2 linked regions of the Ovis aries genome follow. The protein of the gene in region 1 purifies or fractionates together with the protein of each later gene. This does not show direct contact. Links are inferred from orthologs where the notes say so. Each region holds a gene or a part of one and is shown on either strand. Other genes may lie near its edges.

What was found.
Region 2: the proteins of PGM1 (region 1) and GRHPR fractionate together in Homo sapiens (co-fractionation; 3 studies listed by BioGRID). This does not show direct contact. The link is inferred for Ovis aries from reciprocal best matches to the Homo sapiens genes PGM1 and GRHPR.

The regions. Positions count from the first base shown.
Region 1 is NC_056054.1:39,042,653-39,046,460, reverse strand, and holds part of PGM1 (phosphoglucomutase-1), read right to left. Parts: intron 2,834-3,808; coding exon 2,643-2,833; intron 1,203-2,642; coding exon 1,048-1,202; intron 1-1,047. UniProt on the Homo sapiens protein: Catalyzes the reversible isomerization of alpha-D-glucose 1-phosphate to alpha-D-glucose 6-phosphate. The mechanism proceeds via the intermediate compound alpha-D-glucose 1,6-bisphosphate.
Region 2 is NC_056055.1:51,318,301-51,322,730, reverse strand, and holds the start of GRHPR (glyoxylate reductase/hydroxypyruvate reductase), read left to right. Parts: upstream 1-1,434; 5' UTR 1,435-1,457; coding exon 1,458-1,540; exon of another isoform or gene 1,541-1,668; intron 1,669-3,339; exon of another isoform or gene 3,340-3,427; coding exon 3,428-3,558; intron 3,559-3,922; coding exon 3,923-3,995; intron 3,996-4,430. UniProt on the Homo sapiens protein: Enzyme with hydroxy-pyruvate reductase, glyoxylate reductase and D-glycerate dehydrogenase enzymatic activities. Reduces hydroxypyruvate to D-glycerate, glyoxylate to glycolate, oxidizes D-glycerate to hydroxypyruvate.

The sequences.
Region 1 (3,808 bases):
ATTAGTTAACTTCTTTTTCCTTTTGTTTTCCCATCTGTAAAGAGGAATTAAACACAGCATTTACTTCATGGGGCCAGTCTGAGAATTAAAGGATTTAAAATACATGCTTAGTGTCTAGCATAAGGTAATGTTTAATGAGTAATAGTTATGATTATAAGAACCAAGTATATACATTCCCCCTAGCCTCAGCCTTTCATTCATTCACTTGTTCTTTTCCCATTCATCCAGGAACTATTTATTGGACACCTAACATGATGTAGTCAATATCTCTGGTTTGTGCTCATTTATGACTTCCATTCATCAGATGTTTTAAACGTGATCTCATAAGCTAACCTAAAGCCTTTTCAAATGAGATGATATACAATAATAAACAAGCAAGTCAGAGATACCAACTGTTTACTGTCACTGGGTCCCTTGTTTCTCCGAAACTGAATGTATTTTTAAAACTATTTTAGCTTTCTGTTTATTCAGATTTTGAATAAGTGGCCATTTACTATGCTTGCGTGTATGGGCATCTGATGGGCGCTGGATGGGGAACATTTCTTTGAAAGTTCTGTTGAAACACTGATCTTACGTCAGTCTTTCACCCCAACTCTGTGCACACCGCCCAAAGTGAGTCTCTAGAACGATGTCTTGACTACAGCAGAACTGCCATCCATTCATTTATCCATTAACATTCAATCACTCATTTTTTTAAAATGAGGCGTGTGTGTGTGTGTGTGTGTACCAGGCACGCCATGATCAGTCAGAGTTTAGCACAGTGACAAAGACATTCTTTTCTCTGTATTAGTTTCCAGTTCAACAGGGCAGATAGTCAAGTAAACAGACTCTCAGCACACAGTGTGAGGAGAGCCAGGATGGGAGAAATGCAGAGTGCTAAAGCAGCACACTGGGCATATCCAATCCAGAAAAAATGACTCCTTTCCTTCAAGAAAACCCCTAGATCACACACTACGTATGTATCAGATGTCTGAGCTGAAAGGGGAGGAAGGGTGCTCCCAGCACTATGAGGGCCTGCTTGGGAATCAAGGGAGTGGAGAGACCTACCGGTCCAGGGCACCACTGGTGGGCATGCTGCGTGCGAAGCCACGGACCCCAGTTTGCTGGAAGTATGGAATGCTGAAGATGTTGGCAGCAATGACAGCCACAGAGTCTGAAGGGTTCACGAAGAACCCGTGCTTGCCCAGAATCATGTTCCGATCCTTTGGGAGAAGGGGAATTCAAAGGGAGATCTTTTAATCAAAGTGCTGAAGAAACCGAACGATCTTACATGGAGGTTTTGTAAAATTTAAAGCTGATACATTTATTCATACCGGGTTCTACACACTGGACTTTATTCCTAATTGATCTGTACAGCACCACTAGGCCAATGGCACCTCCGTGCCAAAGAGCTAAAACTGTTTTGAGTTAAAGTGCAAACTCCTTCCAGGCTGAATTCTCTGTTCTCCCTCCAGAGGCCAGCTGAATGTAACCTCCCTGACCTTCTCCAAACTCTGGAACCAATCACCTCTCTTCTCTCCCAGAAGACAGCAGAGATCACAGAGAGAGGAAATGTGGGCTGTTTAAAGCTTGCTAGGTCTACCAGGCATTCTCCAAGGAAAAAGCAGATTTCCTCAAGGAAAGGCTCCTAAATCTTGGCACCTCCATTTGGTGCAGGACCCAACAAAATATGCTGTCACCTCACTGTTCTCCTGGTGCCTGATATACAGGAAGCGCTCAAGTAACTGAGAGTAAAGAGGAAACCCAGGATGCACTGCAACAGAAAGACACACTGAAAATAATGTCTGCTTGTGCATTTGTTTAGTGACTAAGTCGTGTCTGACTCTTTTGAGACACCATGGACTGTAGCCCACCAGGCTCCTCTGTCCATGGGATGTTCCAGGCAAGAATACTAGAGAGGGTTGCCATTCCCTTCTCCAGGGGATCTTCCCTACTCAGGGATTGAACCTGCATCTCCTACACTGGCAGGTGGATTCTTTACCAACTGAGCCACCAGGGAATGTCCCAATCTCTGCTATTTAATTTCTCAAAATATTAACATTGAAAAAGCTATTTTATAGGAAACAATGAATTCCAGCTGATGTTAAAGAACAATAGCAACCACCAAAATATATTTTTAACCAAGTAAATATGTGTAATGTTTACTATCTCTAAGACACTGTCCCTCCTTGTCTGTTACATACTCACCAATGCAAATAAAAGAGCATGTTTATTTCAAATATTAACTGTAGCTAAAGAATAAACTGTTAATTCTCTCATTATAGTTTCATCTTTCAGCTAATGTGAATGAACAGATGGGTATATCATAAGACCAAAACCCTTTCCAGAGATTGAACAAGGATCCAGCTGCTGGCTAAGAGCAAAAATCTACCTAAGGATGGAGATCGAGAACCCAGTCAGCTCATGGAGCACCAGTCAAGACATGATAACCAGGCCCCAATCACCCTGCCCTTCTCAGCAAACACTAGACACATGGTTCTACTTCAAGTCATCCTGTCAAGAGGGTCTTCTAATAATTGAGCCCCGACTCCAGGTGCAATGAGGGAGCTTGACTGCACTCCAGGCTGCAGGGCCTGCTTTCCCCCACTGAGCACATTAGGCCTGGCCTGCATCAGAGTCCACGTAAATGCACTTGCACCCACCCCATCTCCATCAAAGGCAGCCCCAAAATCATGCTCCCCTGTCTTCATAGTCTCCACCAGGTCAGCTGCGTAGGTGAGGTTGGGGTCAGGGTGGTGGCCTCCGAAGTCCTCCAGGGGAACGCAGTTCACTGCCGAGTTCGCAGGGGCGCCGAGTTCTTCACAGAGGATTTTTTTCACATATGGTCCCACGACTATGCAGAACATGAAATGAAGAACCAGAAATGAAACTGATCACAGAAGGTGAGGACTGGGGACTAGGTAGAGGCGATCTAGGGAGAATGGCACAAACGGCAGAGAGTGTGCAAACTGTATTCAAGGGCTTGTGGGCAGATGAGTCTGGAGTAGAAAGTTCTACAAGCAGGAATAATGAGGGATTAGGAAAGAGTGGGGGAAGGGAAGGAAGCGAACCTTATGAAGATCCTGCTACACAGGTGCTTCTTAAACATTTTCTCAGTCCTTCAAAATGGCCCATGAGGTGCTACAACTTAGCGCTTTAAGAACCTGGACTCTGGAATCAGAGTGTCTGGGTTCAGATCTCAGCTGTCAATTATTGGCTGTACCATTTTGAGGAAAGTTATTTAAGCTATTTCATCTCTCTGCTGTGCTTCCATCTATGCCAAATGCAAAATGAGGATAATAATAGTAGTTACCTTTACAGGGTAGACGTGAGAATTAAATGAATTAATAGATATGAGGCACTGATAACAAGCAACAGCCCATATTTTATAAAAGCTTGTGTACTATGATTACCACCTCCAATTTAGGGGAAGAAAACGGAGGTTCTGAGAGGAGGCTATTTGCCCAAACTTACACAGATAGATAGCAGGAGTGAGAGCTAGGATTCAGAGTCCTAATCTTTCTCGTCTATCATGCTTTCCAACAAACTGATTAAAAGAATACAGACAAACAAAAACACAGTAACAACATACAACAGGGAAAACCCGTCACATACTTTACAGTGATACATAGTGTTATGATCAAGAACGTTCGTCTCTAAATGCTTTCAACCAAGGAAGGTTCAACACCAATATATGCGACAGAGGTCAGGACAGTATAGAATTCGTGTCTCCCACTGGGGGCATGCTAAGGAGGCTACTGACACACCTCAGGATGAGGACAAGGCAGCCAGAGCTGTGAGGGGCACAGAAACCGAGACTCTTGAGGAA
Region 2 (4,430 bases), on another chromosome or scaffold:
CGGTGCTAGGCTCTTTTCTCTGTATATCTGCTGCTGTATATCTGGTCCCTGCTTCACAGACTATCCAATCCTCTTATAATTAGAGGGCTTAATTAGTCCCTGGTGACTGATGGGCCCACCTGATGCCAATTCCCTCCTGCAAATGGTCGCCTTCTCCCTCAGGTAGGAAAGACTGCTGCAATGTCCTGCCAGCGTCTGTTTGGCAAGGTGTGGCTCCAGGACCCTTTGTATATGATCCCTGTCAAATAAACCACTGATGTCTCTGTCTCCAGGCTCTTTCTTCAGTTTCGAAGCTAGACAACTACAAGGCTTGTAGGCCTGAGGTGTGCAGCCCAATATACCTGCTGTTTGTAAGTACTGTACATAGGTATCCTCTCAACAAGCCATGAGGCAGGTAAGTACTATTACACCTATTTTACAGATGAGGAAACTGAGGCATGTAGAAGGTTAGGACTTGTCCTTAGTGGGTCACAGAGCTGCGATTTAAACCCAGGCAATCTGGCTCCAGAGCCCGAACTCACCTCTCTCATGGCCTCGGTGCTTGGTGACTATCAAACATGGCCCAGGGCCCATGCAAGTGTTGCCTGCTTAATTAATAATCACAATAGCCCTCAAAGGGAAGTGCTCATCACCCCATCTTGAAGCTGAAGAAACAGCCTTAGGAAGAGGATGTGAACCGACCAAGACGACATTGCTGGTAAGTGACAGAGCTGGGAGTCAGACCCTGTCCACCTGACTGCAATCCCAGTCTCTGCCCATGACCCCACGGTCCCGCATGGCTCCAGCATCTTGGCCCTGACCCCATGCCTGACCTGCTTTCGGCCAGTCAGCAGGTGTCCAGCAAACTGGGTGGCTTTCAACTGTGGGCTTCCTGTGGGAAATTGCACCAAGCATTAAGGAGGTCATTCTGGGATTCAGGCTGCCCTGGTCCAGGCTCCTGTGTCTGCACGATAGGCCAGGCTCAGAGTCCAGTCTGTGTGGCTAAAGACCACTGCCTGGATCATTGCGACCATGATGGAACAGACCTAGAGAAGATGGCCGGCACAGCAGACCCTGGGAATGGGGATGACCCTTGACCACACCCTTCTCCCCCAGCACAGGCAGCGTACTCACAGCTGTAGGCACCTTCACAGGCACCCCTGCACGTTCACACAGGACCTCCCGTGGCTGCCTCTTCACCTATCCCAACCCCTAAGACCGACCGGAGGCTCTGAGGCAGTGAGTACTCAGAGGTAGGCCCTGGTGGTCAAGGGCACGAGCCTGCCACCAGCTCCAGGGCCAGTCTGTTTCCTTAAGGCTTGATCACACAAACGCAGAAGTGCACAAGGCGCACACTCCCCCCGCTCCGGAGCCAATCCACACCCTCGCCCCGCCTGCTCCGGCCCCGCCCCTCCAGAGGCCCCGCCCCCTTCCCGGCCCGCCCGCTCTGGGCCCAATATCCGGCGGCTGCGGGGTCAATGAGGCCAGTGAGACTCATGAAGGTGTTCATCACACGCAGGATTCCCCCCGAGGGCAGCGCCGCGCTCGCCCGGGCCGCAGAGTAAGAGCCCGGCGCCCCCGGACCTCTCCGCGCGCCGAGTCCCCTCCCTCCGGGCGCGCGTTCTGCGGGTGGCGTCGCGGGAAGGGGTTGCGGAGCCGGGGGCACCGCTCCTAGACCTCGGGCAGCCTGTACGTGGGGTGACTCAGCGTCTCCGGGCGGGCCGGGGGGCGGCCTCCCGCCACCCACTTCTTTTTGGTGGGGCGGACACGGCGGTCCGTGGGGCCAGGGAGAACTGCGATCCTGCGCTTGGGCCTTCGCCTAACTTTCGAACCCGTGCCTGGCTGGAACGGTCTTGGAGTTTGGGGAACCTTAGAGAAAGTCCTCAGGGGCCAAGCTTTCTCCAGGCCCATTGCTGTGCCCCTGGGAACCGCAGTTCCCGTGGCACTTGCAGCGAGGGTGGGGTGAAGGCTGGAGCCTTCCCCAGTCGTGGGCGTGGGGAGAGGGGAGACTACTCATGTCACAAGGTCTGAGCGACCTCTGAGGTCTCTTGGACGGGTCAGGGGCCTTGGCAGTCACTGGCCTGGTCCCTTCGTCGGTTAGCAGGGGGCCTCTGGTAGCACTTCTTAAACTGAACTCTGCACCTTACCAGGTGCTTCTTATAAGTAAACTCTTAATTCTTCAACGCTGTGAAATCAGTGCTGTGATTCCCACTTTACAGAGAAACTGGGAGAGGTCAGGTACCTTCACCAAGCTCTATAGGTGGCACAGCTGGGATTAGAAATCTGCTCTGTGGCAGTCTGAGCACTGCGGTATGCAGATTTTCACTTCCCATGTCAGGCGAGGAGAAGGTGGACCCAGCCTTAGAAACAAGTGCTAGGGGAAAATGAAATTTGTTTCTTTTGTTGCCTGCAATCAAACTTTTGCTGAAGACTTGCTGTGTGCTAGGCATTGAGGGGGAGAGGGGAAGGCAAAGACAACAAGAACACTAGTAGCGGCGCTCACACTGCTGCAGCGCTGGGCCACTGTTCAGGAAAGGAGGCTGCGTGCGAGGAGGCCGGCGCCTGGGCCGGGGGTGTTGGAAAGTGCCAGCAGCTCTGTGTCTTGCACATGTAGATTTTCCGTGCGTTTTGGCTGCATTGAATTAAATGTCATGGGCCAGAGGTTGGGCAGCACTGCTGGGAAACATGCCTGGGGCCCACCAGCCACTCTGGAAGCGCCCCTTGAAACTCCTCCCTGTTGAACTGCTTTGGTCTTGTCCATGGCTCAGATGGTAAACAATCCACCTGCGATGCGCGAGACCTGGGTTCGATCTCTGGGTTGGGAAGATCCCGTGGAGGAGGGCATGGCAACCCACTCCAGTATTCTTGTGTGGAGAATCCCCATGGACAGAAGAGCCTGGTGGGCTACAGTCCCTGGGGTCGCAAAGAGTCAGACACGATTGAGCGACTAAGCAGAGCACAGCACATGTACAAAGTCAAGAACAAGGGTTACTCGTTTCACGGACTCACAGGAGAAGATGCACAACCAGACAAGGGGTCCAAGCCCGGCTGCTGCCAGGAGCCCCCTCCTGGCCTTCTCAATAGGCAGCCTGGCCCGGGAGCTCGCAGCCTGTGAGGCCTCCTGTGGGGGTAAAGAAATCTCTTCTTGTGTTGAGCTGAGAATGGTCCCCGTGACTTTCTCCTTTCAGCTTAGGCCCTTTTCAGTCCTTACTGGAGAGCTCTGCTCTGTGACAGCCTTCACCCTTCAGCCACCCTCAGAACAATTCTGAGGCTGCCCCCACCTAATCTTGACTCCCCTCAGCCAGCCCCAGGCAGCTTGAGGCCAGAGCAAGCAGAAAACAATGTTTTCCACTCTGACAGGGTCGGTGGATGTGGCCGGAGAGCTTTGGGGGCCTGTGGGCACCTGAGGGGCTTGCCCACTTCTGAGTGGTCTTCCCTTTGTCTTCAGCTGTGAGGTGGAGCAGTGGGATTCTGATGAGCCCATTCCCAGAGAGGACCTGGAACAGAGAATGGCTGGGGCCCATGGCCTGCTCTGCCTCCTCTCGGACCGCATAGACAAGAAGCTCTTGGACGCTGCAGGTGTGTGTGCTGTGCAGGCCTGGGGAGGGCTCCCGGGGTGTCTTGGCCTGCTGCTGCTGCTTTCCAAGCAGGTCTTTAGTGACTTCAGCGAGCTCTGAGGGCATTCACTGTGGTCCTAGGCCACAGCTCCATGTGGCACACACTGTGCCCCTCTTTGCTGGCTGTGAGTCCCCGGAGGGAGACCTTAAGAGGGCAAAGACCATGGTGTGGAGGAGAGCCAGGGCCCTGGGCCCTTTTCCAGCTCTGTTCAGGCTTGGTTTATGACCTTTAGCAGGGCCCTCCCTTTTCCAGACCCATCTATATATGTGGGAAGGCCTTGAATCCCTTGAGGAAAGATACAAATAATGCTTTTTCTGCCCAATAGGAGCTAATCTCAAAGTCATTAGCACAATGTCTGTGGGTGTTGACCACTTGGCTCTGGATGAAATCAAGAAGCGGTAAGTGCAACTTGGGCTCTGGAATAAAGGGTGACTACCAGAGAGGGAAAAAGAGGAGCTGAGTATCTATTTGTTTTTCCTTCATATCTCTTGACCATTTGGTGAAAATGTAAGGTAGCCAATGATAAAATCTGCCCATGTGTGCACAGGTCAGTTAAGATAAGTCTGAGCAGTCAGAAACAGTGGCTAACAATGTCCAGGTAATATCCTTTCTCATTCATTCTTTTTTTTTTTTTGACCCTCACATCAACCCCTTCAAGTAGAAAAGGCAAGAATTATTATTTCTCTCTTCAGATGAGGAAATTCAGAAAAATTAAGTAATCAGTTACTGGAGCTCCACACATTGGAGCTTGTTCTTCCATCTTATATCCTTCTCAAAACGGGAGATGGTCAAGAGGGGACTGAGGGCTGGCCAATCCTGGGAGCCCACTACAG